Drosophila melanogaster: one gene and its partner. The protein of the gene in region 1 interacts with the protein of each later gene in a pairwise test. Each region holds a gene or a part of one and is shown in the gene's direction. Other genes may lie near its edges. The genes, in order: CG30403 and CG15445.

Region 1 (6,403 bases):
AACTACTTAATCGTACTGTACTGGACCCAAAACTAAACACTTTGATTCAAAATGTTATGGGCATCACATTTTCGTTTTAGCAGCGCGCCATGTTCCTGTACCAAAAAGCAAGGCAAACACAACAGCAGGGGTAGCGTGAGCGAGACAGCAGGCCACCACCGGGATGAAGCGATGGCGGCGCAAGCGAGATGGCACCACCTACTAGGGCTATCGCTCAGCACTCTTGAGCAAGAAAATACAAAAAAGAAACTGAAAATGCGCGCGCGCGCGCTTGCTCTCTCCCGCTTCTTGCTTCCTCTATCTGCTCGAACGCGCGCCACTTAATAATTAATATGAAATTAATTGGTGTTCTACAAAAGGAATATGCATGGACCTCTGACACCGCAACTGTTTGGCGGCTCAAAGGGCACGCTATTTGGCCAAAAAGTGCCACTTCTTTCGACGGCGAGTGCGGAAGCAACGAAACGGCAACACACTTTTTCTGTATGCGATGACTGCCTTATATTGGTACAGACTGCGACGCGCTCTCAACATGTATGAAAAAACCTCGAAAATGCTGGGGAAATAGCCGTTTGGTGTACAGATTTCAAAGAAACACTTAATTTGTCCAGGCGAGGCAATTTTAAGGGGCTTTAAGCAATTAATGTTGGTTTTTTAACGTGTTTTATCACAGCGCTCTTTGAACTCTTCCTCTCGCTCGCTCTTGTTGGAGTAAGTTGCAAACTAGCCGTTTATTTGAACAAGTTGTTGGTTTATCACTAATGCATGCGTTATATGTCACAAAATTGATGTTTTTAAAGTTTTTATCTTATTTGCTGCCGTCCGTTCACCAACCTTTGTCGCTTGTGCTTCAAAAAAAACTGAACGAGTCAGCGTCGACTGCCAAAAAGGAAGGCAGCGCGCTCTCACAGTCGACGTCGGCAGAGGTGCGCAAAAAAAAAAAAAGAAGGCGGCAGATGTTCGATAGAGAGAGTGCGGGAGAACTGCGTGGCTTTGCGGTTCGCTTTGGTTTTTACCACTATTCCCCAACTTTCTTTACTGCTGATATTCACAAATGTTATTTTTATAAAAATATAATAATTTCATTAGAAATTATTTACAAATAAATTAACTTGAACAGACTACATTTCATTCTCTCAGAGAGCGAGAGAGAGCAACGCCACTCTCACTCCGAACCGGCAAATTAAAAGAGAAACGCTAAATGTCGGGTAAAAACAAATGCACAAAACCGCATATCTTATAGGAAATAGTAAAGCAAAAAAGGCGCGCGTTTTGCTTGGCGTCTAGAAAACAATTTGGAAAATTGCTACTTTTTGAGCGGAAAACAAGGGGAACTGCGACGTTGGCGGCCATTTTGAGGCGAGGCCTAAGAAGCAGCGAGCAAAGTGAAGAAGTCAAAGCCAAAATGGCAACGCTTTCTCTGCTCTTTGGCTTGGGGGTACAGACACGCGCTGCTTGATTAAATTCACAACTGATTTAACGACGGAAAACTGAATTTCGCACTACAAATATGCTTCACACAACTAGGCACTTATATCTGTATAACTAATTCCATATACTTTTTACATTTTATCTTGCACAATATTATTTAGAACTCAGTAGAGGAAACCAACCTTGCGCTTGTGTGGCTAAAAATGAACTGTACGGAAGAACGGAACGGTTGGCACAACGAAAAAAACGAGAGAAGATGAGAGAGTGCAAAGAAACGCCGACAAGCAGCGACGCCGTGTTGGTATTGGTGAGAGAGTAAGAGAGTTCTCTCCCTCTCTCTGCGACGGGGAGCAAAACGGAATACAATAAATGGCATGTAAAAACAAATAAAACGCTAAGCAGGGAAAATGCGTTTTGCACAATAGTGGACGAACTAAATGGGCAAAAACAAATAAATGCACATCTCGATTCCTGCGAAATATTGCAACTATTTTGCGGTTTCTCATTTTCTTCCACTTTCCCATAAGTACAAACTGCACGGGAATCAAATTCTCTTAGTTGAGCAGTACAAAGAACGAGGGTCGCTTTTTAAAAATGGCGCCAAAATTTATATGCCCAAAAAATAGGTACCATTAAATATTTTAAAAAATATATAATAACTTCTCAGCCTACCCTTGATTTAGTACAGTTGATAGAAACTTGTTCCTATATATGTATGTATGTAGATCTATATAACATATCACCTGAATTTTGATTTTTCAAACTAATCGAAAATTAATGACAATTAAACTCGTTAATACTTTATATTAATACATACCATTTTATATTAGATAAAAAAGATATTTTTTCGAAATACATAGTACTGTTGAATTTAATTTTTATAAAAACTACAATGCAACTTTTGATCTGAAGTTAAATTAAATACTATGTGCAGAAGATCCTAATAGGGAAATAACCGTTACATATCGGCTAGATTTTCAGCGGCAGATGCAGCAAACCATTTTCCCACAATCAAATCGTAAATGCCCAGAAACGGGAACAAAGGATCCAAAATCGTGGCTGCAGTTTTTCCTCCTGTAGGCACAAAGGATAACGATGTCACGCGCTGTTGCAAGTTCACAATAGCGAAGGATGAAACAGGAAAAGCGAAGGGGCAAGAGCGAAGGGAAGACAAACAACTATGGAACCTACCTGAAGGAAAGAAACTGCATTCCGTTGCACACAGATTGCATGAGGGAAAATCTGGTTCGAAGAAATTGTAATATTAATTCGAAATGGGCGAGCCCAAATGCTTTCTGTTAATTAACAGCTGCTGTTAATGCGCGATCCCTCTCCCAGTCTTCATTTGAGAATAACTTCAACTTTATTATGTGCGTGAGTCCGTTATTTTTTATGTATGTATGTATGTATATGAATGAACAAGCTTACAGGGGCGCTTGCAGGATTTTACTGAAAGACAAATATGCTTTAATTTTTTGAATAAAATAGAGAGAATAGAAATTTGCATTATTAGAGTCGGAAGAAGAAACTCTTTGAATCCGCAACCGTGTTCAAAGAGCGCGTCCCGAATAACGGACCTGCGCTCTCTTTCGTTCGCAAAAGTAGCAAAGCAACTCGTCAGCACATTCATTCGTTTTTGCTTTGGCAATGCTTGAAAAAACCGTGGTTTACTTGCTTTTCTTGGGATTTTAAGTGTTGAAAACATTTTCAATATGTAATTTGATTCTTATACTTGAATACGTTGTCAGAGCCAAGGACTGCGTTACTAAGAAGTAGTTTTTTTCGGTAGCTCATTAAATTTTGGGGTTTCTAGACAACAGTTTAAAATTTCTGTCATTTGTGCTTTATGAAAGCAGACTTGCAGAAGCACACAGCAAAAGCATCACAGAAACAGAATCCATGAGCGAGAGGAGCGGTGGAGAGAAGCAGCAGAAAAGCAGAAAGCAACATGTACACCGTCAGTTGTGGAGCAGCAGTTGCTCGAAGTGGTTATCGTTTGTGCTTTTTCCCTTTGTGCTTTTTGGCACGAGGGACCATTGCCAAAGCGGGTTCTCTAAAAATAGAAAGCATTTCCAAAAACGATTATATTTTGAACGCGGCCATGAACAGTGCCGTACCGCCCGGCGTGTTGGGACTACCCTATCGATTTTCGGATGAGCGTACGGTCAAGTTCGTAGAGCTTTACGGCCGGGAACCTTGTCTCTGGAACAAGCGACCATATTTGCGACGAGCTCGAAGCGCCGCCTATCGGCGAATTCAGTCCGGGATCAATGCTGATATTGAACCATATGAGTCAGGTCTTACCATCCAGGGCGTAAAGATGAAGATCAAGAATCTTCGTACTGGGTACCACCAGGAGCTAAAGAAGATCCGAACTATTCCGGGATATCAGCCAAAGACGCCCTGGTTTGCCCCACTTCACGGGTTTTTGGCAGAGTTCTTGGACACGGTAAGGGATGTTTACGATTAAGCATTTGTATAAATTTGCATTTGTATTATAAAATAAGATTTAGAACATGACTTATTTTTCTATTGAGGATTTTGAAGCACTAGAAATGAATAGCACACAAATAAATTTTGTTCATTTCGGAATTTAAAATATTCCTCGACGAACATTTTGTGTGGCCCACTGTGTGAATAAACTCAATGGGCTTTGAAAAACTTTTGGGACAGAATTGAAGCATCAGTCTTTTGCTCTTAAGCTTAAACTGCGGTCACAGCGGTCATGATGTTTTCTATATATCGCAATCTACAAATTGAATCAATATGAAAACACATTGTGCGGTAGGATTGGTTTTTAATGAAACATTTTTATTAATAATTATTATAGTTAGTTAATAGATGTTTATGAAAAGATTGCCGACTGGTTTTCATTTAATTTCATGTATATTTGGTTACAGAATGAGTTGGAAACATCAATTCCTCAACTAAAGCGCCTACAGATTCGACTTACCAGACTGAAGCCGATTAAGATTCAGACGGAGATTAAGCCAGATCCCGATGACTTGTCAGTCCCCGATAGGCCGTTGGATGCTACACCCTCTTCCTTATTTACCGTTCTGCCAGCACCTATGCCCGTGGAGGAGCCTCCCACTCCACCGCCTTCCGTGCCCAAGATCGGAGACATCATCTCACCAGTACATCCAGACCCAGCGCCTGTTCCGATAGCAGGGAACTGTCCTCTGTCGACAGCCTGCTCCATTTCTGAAAAAAGTGAGGTCTTGGGATTGGGCCTGGGAGTATCGGCAGCTGGACGGACGAATGGAGTTGGCCTTGGAGTTGAAATGCGAGGCGAGGACGAATTCACCTACTTCGGGTTGAGCGTTGCAGCGCAAATCCGTAATATGCCATTGGCCAGTGCCATGCTAATGCAGTCGAAAATCCAGTATATGCTCTCTATGGAGCGTCGTAAGATTAACGGTCATCCTGGCGATATGGACATATTTCTAACTAAAAACTAAGTTTCTTTTGAAAATGGTGGAGATTACATTCCTTTAAATGAATCTGTGAATATGGTTATACGTTATCTGCTTGTATAATTTGGCAGAAAATCTTCATTGTACAATTAACCATGCTTATGTGCTGTGTGTTCTTGTTTAAAAACACTCTTGAAGTATCATATTGGATTAAAATCAACGACAAAGCAACCTCATGTTATATATAAGTTATATAATTTATGATAAGTGGAAGAAAAATATATTTTTGTTCATACCAAATCGAAAAATTCGAATTTAAATTTATGTAAATTAAACCTTTGCTGTACGGCTGATGCGCCTAGGAACAGAAAAAATAAAACTACAAAATATGCAAAAATAATGTAAATTAGATAATTTATAATTTACCATTCATGGTAACATATCATTGCTGGATTATCTAGTGGCTTCGATTTGCGAGCGTTCACTGTGCCGCCGGAAGAAAAGCAGAAAAGCAAGACGGCAAAAACATTGCGAGTGGGAGAAAACAAAACTGTACAGTACAGCGAACCAGCAAATAGAGGCACTCTCTTCGACCGACTGAGTGTGTTGGTGAGCTGTGTAAAATACACGCGAGTAAAGTGCGTGTAAAATGTGACATAATGTAATGCGTAATGTATATTTCAATTAAATCTATAATCAGTTGCAAATATGTTTTATTTAGTTACGGATATATCTTTTATTTCAAATTTTGACTCTTTCAGCAAATGTGACGCATTCACACACACACACACACACACAACCGGTGTATGTGCTGAATAAATTCTCAGGAGAAGAGAAAACCGAGACTCTGAAACCGGACGACGAACGACAACAAAACGCACGACTGTTGTTGCTTTTGCTTATCAACTTTGCCAGTTTATTCGCAGCATATCAACACCCTACCCGAATTCGCAAGTCGGGCTTAACTGTTCTTGTAGACCCTTCGCCTGTTACCTTCAAAATGACAACCAATACCCGATACTGACACAAACTGTAGAAATATTTTAGTTTCGTAATTAGAATCTAGTCACAAACAGTTTATTTTGATTAACTAAAAAATTGTAAATAACAAAATGATATTTTCAAATAAATTTGATCTAATAAACTTACTTTCATGGTAGTGGTGGGATCACATTATCATATCTAAAAATTACGCACCATAAAAGTTTTAATTACTTAAAAGTCCAATTGGGCTCAAAGGACCAAGAACCCCCATCGAGTAGTCCGCCCACATATGTACATATGTATGTATGTTTGGACAGTGGCTAGTGTTGCATTTTAGAGCTCCGCTTTAAATTGGGTCACAACGGAGTTAGTCCTGTTGCTCGTGTTGGTTTTGCCACTTCCACTGCCGCCTGGTGGTGCAACAATAGGCCCCACGGAATGTGCCGAAGATACAGATACTGAACTTGGCCGTGGAGACCGATGGGGCATGGGGCGTGGGGCGTTGGGCATTCGGATTCGCACTCCCATACGTTGCTCGTTGTTGCTAGCGACCGGCAAGCTCTATCCAAAAC
Region 2 (7,840 bases), on another chromosome or scaffold:
CACGGAGCTTTCCCGCTTCTCGGGCAGTGGCCTTTCCTTTTGCCACTTCTTCTGTTCCAACTGCTCCAGTTTCTGACCCTCCTGCAGGCCCATGAAGTGGCCGTGGGCAAAACCCTCGCGGTAGCCCCATTTGAAGCCCTTGTGCATGCCCACAGAGTGCTCCTGCTCCATGGAGAGATTGAGAACGTTGCTAAGTAGTTGGACACAGCCGCACACATCCCCCATCAGGGTCTCCATTCGCTCCATGGAGACGTACATCCGGCCCTGCGGCTGCCGGCTCTTTTTCTGCACCTTTTCGAGGGACTGGCGGATCACGGCCAGGCTGGCCAGTTGTTCACTGTGGAGACGGGGCAGCTGAGGAATGGTCACATCCAGGGCTGGCACTTGAATGGGTCCCAGGTTGGAGTGAACCACATCTTTCTGGTTCCTGCCACTGGTTACCTCATGCTCCTCTTCCTTGTCCCCGGTGGCAATTTTGATCACCGGTTCGCCCGGGTTAAATGCTTGACCAGCTTTCAAAAGTCGCTCCCTTTCGCGCAGCTCCTTCATTAGGAGATCCTCGAATTTTGTCGATGATATCACCTCAACGGGCGGAGCACACGACTTGGCCAAATGGCGGAGATTCTTAATCAGCTGATTAAGCTGCTGCTCCACGGAATGCAGAGATTGCGAGACACGACCGCCCACAAAGACACTTCGGCCATCTGCGCCCAGAATCAGCTCGTGCTCCTCCGTCTGATACAGACCAGTGGTGTCCACCTCGGGACGAGCTTCCACGCAGGCAGAGGGCTCCGTTTGACAGCCGGTGTCTTGCAGAGAGACAGGGACCGGTTGTTCCACCTCCTGCTTAGGCACGGACCTCCTGATCTCCACCAGCGTTCGCATAAGAGCCATCAGCAAGCACTGCGTTTGTCCAGCCAGATCCTCCTCGTAGTGGGCCTCCGCCAGCTTTCCAAATTCCGAATCCGCTAGAGCTTCTTTTTCTCCCAGTATGGCGGCCACGACCTTCTGCAGTTCCTCCGTCTGGAATCGGAACTCCGGCCGACTCCGGAAGTCCGGCAGGTTGCTGCGATGCGGCGTCTCGCTGCAGAAGACCGACAGTGTGAAGTGGCAGTTCTGGGAGTGCAGAAACTCCGCCACCAGAGTGTGCAGCACCATCGCCAGTGGCGAGACGAGCAGTGCGTGGGACTGAGCCATCTGCACACCAGCAGCCTTGCTCAAGAGCTGGCCTGGAACGGGTACATTTATGGTTAGATCGATTAATAAATTAAAAAGGGGGTTTTCAATAAACTTTGAGATGCCAAATAGTAAAATATCTTTCATTAGTTTGATTAGCAAACCCACCGAGTGCCGTATTATTGAAGCAGTGAATGAGCTCCACCCGCAGGTGAGAGTGCATCTCCCGGGCAATCCCCTCCTGGTCCAGCCACTGGCGGAACTTCACCTCGAACTCCTGCTCCGACATCGCGGCCAGTTCCTCGAGCTGTTGCCTCAGCCGTTCCGCCCTGGCATCGGAGTCATCCTGCTCCTCAATCTGATCCTGAGGAATAGGTACGTGCTTTCTGGTAGGCCTTCCTGTGCGGTATCCGTGTGCTCCAACCTCCGGGGGCAATGATGATCCCCGCGTTACTGAACACAAAATGGGATTATCAGTGAATATGAATCGCTATTAAGTTCGTAAAGGTTTATTGTACTGAATATTTTAATTTGAAAAGATTATTTTTCGAACAAATTTGTGTACGTCGGAGTATAAAGATTGCTGGTTTCTTAGAGTTATAATAATAATAATAAAAATAGTTATAATAATAATATTAATAATAAAAATAATTATTATAATAATAATAATAATAGTTATAATAATAATAATACTTATAATAATAATAATAAAAATATTAATATTATTATAAAAATAATAGGCCCACCTCTAGTTATATTTGATGGTCCGCACGGTCCTGGTCTGCCCAGTCCGGTTGCTTGGAGTCGCTCCCTGGACTGCGTCATTCTCCGCCTGGCGGGATCGCCGTCGGTGCTGATCCTTCGATTATGCTGGCGCACCCGCTGTGTCGCCGACGCCGCTGTGGCCCGCTCCTGCTTAATCTGCTCCTCCCGCTCCCGCTTTGCGGCCTCGTGCTTCCGCTCCCGCTCGCAAGGCATGCCGATGCCGCCCACATCCCGCTGCTTCGCCCTGAACGATAACGTTGTCGTGCTCGCCGGCACGTGGCGAACCTTCATGCCGTCCTGAAGGAACTCGAGGCTCGGATGGGATCGAGAGTTGGTCTGCGTATGCTCGGATAGAACCTCTGACCGCCGCTTACATGCGCCGCGTTTGAGTAACTGAACTTTCCAGGTAAAACGAGCACGAGCGCAAGACACTCACCACCAACAGCGAAATGTGACAGGTGCGACGGAGCCTGCCCTGCCACCTGGGAACTGAGTGAAATTGGGGAGGAGGTCAACTCGATCGTCGGGGGTTGGTCCTCCTAAAGGCGTCAGCTGTGTTGCCTATGTGAAGCGTGCTCTAAAAATTAAGTGAAATATATGACAACTGAGTTCTATGAAATGGTATTCTAAGCAAAAGCTTATTTATCATAAGTAATTGCTCACTAATACTTATAACGGCGGCAGTATTTACTGCCGAGCCCATATTAAAACAGCAATACTTCTTGTGGAAGCGTGTATTTGGTGTATTTTTCACAATAATAATATTTTGAATTTTAATTCAAAACAGTTCCGCTTTAAAGTTGGCAGTTGACTATCGATAGATAATTGTCCGCAAAACAGCTGATTGCTAAGTAGTAAGTGCATCAGCCGTACTGACGGTGAAACTGAAATATGAGTTTCTTGCGTTAAATGGTATAGAAATAATATAATATAAATCAACAAGCACAGCTGTGTTTGCCAATGCGTTTTTATAAAAAACCAAATTTGAAGACTTTGACTATTAACGGGCAGAACGTTCATGTCAGTCAGCTTTTGCAAGCGTTTCGCTGTGGCTGACAGATGGCCGAGTGCTGCAAGAGCCGATAGCTATCGAGTTGCAGTTGTTGTGTCAAACGACAAAAAAGACCCAATTGCGGTGATTCCACCAGGCAGAGCTTATCCCATACGAAGACGCAGCACAGTTCACATTAAATAAATTTCCGTAAATAGTTCTTATTTGTCACCCGCCCAAAATTAAAGTCTACTCCACTGCACCCAACCCCGCGATTATCAACGACTGCGCATCGTTCTTTGTTGTTTCGTGTAGAAACACATGTGCAAGGAAGAAGAAGAACCAGAACATCACATCACTCGTAAATAGTAAATATCTAGAGCATGCCCGATCCTTTGTGACGCGTCAGTTTCAGCCAGTTCGCCACAATTTTTGCCAAGTCATCGTCGAAAATGTCACAAAACGACAACCTACTCATCCAGATCCGCGCCCTTCTCCAGTCCGATGGCGAGAAGCTGTGGGAGGAGCCCTACTACTCCGAAGATCTTGGTAGCATCGAGGGAGCACTAGAAGTACGTACTATATGCCCACCACCCCACACCTAAATGCCTTCCAGTCAGTGGTCGGGGAAATGACAAGAATGCCTGAAATACGGTTGGCAATATAGAAATATTATATTCAAAATGCATATATTATATATATATATATATATATATATTATATATTTATTTGTTAGTTCTTTTCACATTTGAAGAAGTAAGAAGCTAGTTTCGACAAGCCGTAACTTATATACACCTTCAGCTAAGTTCATATTATTAACACTTATTTTAGTTTGATTAGTTTGATCATATGATATTATTGTCCAATTAAAAATACTTAAAAAAAAAACAACATGACATTGCACAAACGAATCTTTTAAATTCCTATTATACTTTAATAATTCTGAATTACAAGAGTAACGACAAAGATATTATTTAGTTTCCTTATATAGGTTTTTGATCTGTTTCGCTTCGACTTATTTATAACGCCTAGAATAAAAATAAGATTTTAAACCGATAGATTTGTTGGCGTGTGAAAATGTGATTGCTTTCTTGAATTATTATTTATTTTTCAATAAATAGAGGTTGAGGGATTTTAAAAATAAAGTAAGACCAATAGTAGTCAAAAGAATAGCACATTACCAGCATTCATACTCAGGAACTCAGTAGCTTTGGATTAATATAATATATAATATTTTATTCTATAATAAGATGTGTATCCATTTCATTAAAGAACCTGGCGCAGAAGTACTCCGGCATGTTGGGCATCGATATAGGTCGCTGCAAGTTCTTTTTGACCGAGCTGCAGGAAAATGCTCTCCGTACGCTGGCCGCCCGACGTGAGTTCAGCACCACAGGAATTGCCACGTTGAAGGTTCGCCGCGTTGGCGAGCACAGCGGTGCCACAATGGTGGAAGTGAAGTGCAGCTTGGACATCGTGGGCTCCGAACTCCAGGCATGCATAGCGAAGAAACTGGAAGTGCCGAATGCTGCGCACGTCAAGTGCATCGCTGCCGGCAAAGTGGTGTCCGCCAATGCCACTTTGGCCGACCAGCAGTTGAAGAACAACCAGCAGTTGATTGTCATTGTGGGCGATGGGGATAATTCTGGCGAAGCCCTGTACGAAAGGATCAATCGCATCAAGGCCGATGTGGAGGCGGTGGTGTCCTCGAAGAATAACCTAATAGAGGTGAGTAAATCGGAAGGAAAGTTGCTTAGGTTGTTGTTTAGAAGGTTTTTTAAATCACACCACTTGTTTGTATTTTCGTGTCATGCCCAGATGGAGGATCAGAATGGCAGCCAAGTGTATTTGCCGCCTTCCGAGCATAAAGCCCTGCTCATGGGTTTGGGATTCTGTGAGAAGGCCCGTGCGGCCATGAATCGCAAGCATTTTGAGGAGGCTCTGCTCCTGCTTTTGGAGGCCGACGAGCATTTTTCTACCTGTGGCTCAAAGTTTCTAGAGTCCGTGGATAACTATGCTTTGCTGAACCTCGACATAGTGTGGTGCTATTTTTGCCTGAAGAACGTTACCCAGCTCCCGGATGCTGAGCATCGCTTGGCCCGCTGCAGTCGCAATTTCGGCATCAGCTATGGCGACAATTTGGAGAGGCTGTACTCCTTGAAGGGCAAGGACTGTCCCGAGAGGGCTTTAATTATGCGGCTTAAGTTGCTCCAGGGCGTGATCTTCTTCCACCAGAATCTTCGCAATCAGGCATTTGAGTGCTTCGAAGCGGCTAAAACTCTGCTAAATGAACTAAAGATCAACAACGACCAACTGGCTCTCCTGGTCGATATGGGCTTCGAGCCCTCCGAGGCTCGTATGGCCCTGCGCTCCTGCAAGGGCGGCACCGCCGTCGAACAGGCTGTTCAGTTTATTCACGAGCGTCGTCAGCAGCTCAAGAATGCACGCATGAAATATAAAGCGTCCGAGCGTGCTATGGAGCGCCGCCTGAAGCGCTCCAATTCCAAAGATTGCACCTGGGTGAATCCCCGCAGTGTCTGCAGCCTTGCTGACATGGGATTCGAGAGCGGACTGGCCACTATCGCCTTGCAGCGCTCTAATAATGATATCCTCCAAGCGGTAAGTGTGGCCAAGAATATATTCAATGACATGAATTGATCAGTATGTTTTAACTATAATCTCATGGATGTCACGTGTTTGTAAACTATAAAATAATAGAAATATTTTTTTCTTAGGTGGAACTGCTGCAGACAGAATCGGACGAACTTACTGGTGCTTCGCCATGGTTTCCGGTCACCGTAGACACGACCAAACTGGCTCAGCTTCTGCAACTGGGATTCAACGAGAACGACTCGCGCGTGGCCCTACAGAATGCATCAAATAACATGGAAGAGGCCATCGAGAGTCTGATGTGCGCCATAGAGAGCGAGGAGGAGCTGAAAGCGATTTTAAAGCACGTTGGGCGTTTGGCCGAAAATGGTGGGCAAAATCTTGACGGCCCCTCTACTTCGAACGCCTCCGGGCAGACGCAAGTTGCTTTGCCAGCGCCCATTATCGAAGCTGTTATCAATCATGCTCGCGTCGAGATTGAAACGTACAAGGCCTACGAGCGCTTTAACTCCGACCTCAAACTGAGCGACCTGGAATACCTGGACTTGCCACTTATCCAGGAGGAGAAGATCCTGACTGAGTATTTCAATATGCTGCAGCAGTAGCTTGTATTTGACTTGCCTTTTTTATATCTATACAAAAAAATATAGAAACCCGAAACCGGTTGTCAAGATAACTGTAATCATGACTTGTCTATATTGCAAATCGTAGTCTTATAATGGCACTTAAGTGGCATTCAGCTCCCCTCCCGGCTGCTGTTTGTCCAACTAGGCAAATAGTAAAATATAGAGATTTATAAGTACATGCCTTCTATTGACAACTGCAAAATGTGATTGCGCCGAGCCAGCGGGAGAATTCACCTTTTGGAGCCACCTGAAACTTGTTAGCGCCTCTGGTCATTGCTTATTTTTTTTTTATCGTTTGTTTTTTTTTTTGTCGCTTGACTCTCGACCCCGGCTCGGACGGCGGCGCTTGATTGGGTTCAGTCGTGACCTTGTCGAGGCCAAAGGGCGCCGCTCACTAAGCTCATCCCGTCGACGAATTGAGCGGAACTTACACGATTTGCTGTAAGTATTTGCTTTGCTTAGCAAAGAATTTATTTATTTATTCAAGTAGCACCAAGACTAAATATTATAAGTCAACTAATTGGTTTTCTATATGTATGTACATACATATGTGTAAAATAGTAATTTTCTATTTATACACGTTACTCGCAGAGTGAATAGTATGTAAAATGTTGTCTTGTACAAATTGGCACGGTGCCATAGGATTAAAGTATCCTGCGGCAAATGTGTTGCAAACATGTGTTTTTACATCCTTGTTGGGCGAAATGAAAAATTTAGCAACTGGATTTTTTTTTCCGTAAAAGTATTTGCTCTCATGAAATTAGGTGTGATAGGAAAATGAATTTGGTAGTTATCATACTCTTCAAATATCTGAAAATGTCCTATATCGTACAGTCTGTGGCTATACTTGTGTTTATTTTATAGTGCTAAGCTAAGACACGTGATATATACATAAAAATATAATTTGAAGAAACAAAACTTTATATCTGAAAAAATTATATTAAAGCAAGAATCCAAATCGAAGTAGAATGGTTAAATTGCCAATAGATAGTTCACGATTCTCGATTGGCAATCAGTCATTCACCTATTGGAAAGAGCCAGCACCACTTGGAACCCCCATTTACCCCCAACAACCCTTCTCCAAGTGAAGGCGGTCGCATGCGTGCCTCAAGTGGGAGTGAATGTCGGGTGTTAAGGTAGCACGTGGAAGCCAGTAGCTGACTCAAGCCACTAGGCATCCACGTACACTTATTCCGGAGCAGTTTATAATAATGGCTTGGGCTTAATGGAAATCGGCAGTGAATGAACCCCATCACTGAACCCGGAATGATTTCAAGGAGACTGTAAATTGCACCTATTGTAATTTGCGAACGGTTTTTAAAAACGAGGGCAAAATATAATTAATACATTTTTGAGGTTCTACTAATAAGATTATAGAACTAAAGTATACTCTTGAGCGACATGTCCGTGTCTTGTAAGATTTGCAAAAAAAAAAAAATATATATATATTACACGGCATATAGTCTGTAGTATGTATATAGTATATATAATTCCACCTTATACGTTGATGCGATTTTGGCCTATGAAATGATTAAGACCTGAGTGAACCCAAATCCACTGAACCCGAAATGATTTAAGCTTATAAAAAATTTAAACTCCAAAACAATGCCTATCTGAAGTATTTAAATGTTTCATAAATACGTTTCTAATCTTGTAATTGTATCTAGAGAAT

What was found.
Region 2: the proteins of CG30403 (region 1) and CG15445 interact in a two-hybrid assay, tested with the Drosophila melanogaster proteins (one large-scale study listed by BioGRID).

What each region holds. Positions count from the first base shown.
Region 1 is NT_033778.4:21,708,598-21,715,000, reverse strand, and holds CG30403 (uncharacterized protein), read left to right. Parts: upstream 1-3,387; 5' UTR 3,388-3,532; coding exon 3,533-3,880; intron 3,881-4,331; coding exon 4,332-4,892; 3' UTR 4,893-5,106; downstream 5,107-6,403.
Region 2 is NC_004354.4:21,114,112-21,121,951, forward strand, and holds CG15445 (uncharacterized protein), read left to right. Parts: upstream 1-3,049; 5' UTR 3,050-3,293; exon of another isoform or gene 3,294-3,351; 5' UTR 3,352-3,384; coding exon 3,385-3,504; intron 3,505-4,204; coding exon 4,205-4,660; intron 4,661-4,750; coding exon 4,751-5,551; exon of another isoform or gene 5,552-5,636; intron 5,637-5,667; coding exon 5,668-6,147; 3' UTR 6,148-6,333; downstream 6,334-7,840. Other genes in the region: unc (uncoordinated), read right to left, coding at 1-1,229, 1,345-1,629, 1,923-2,232.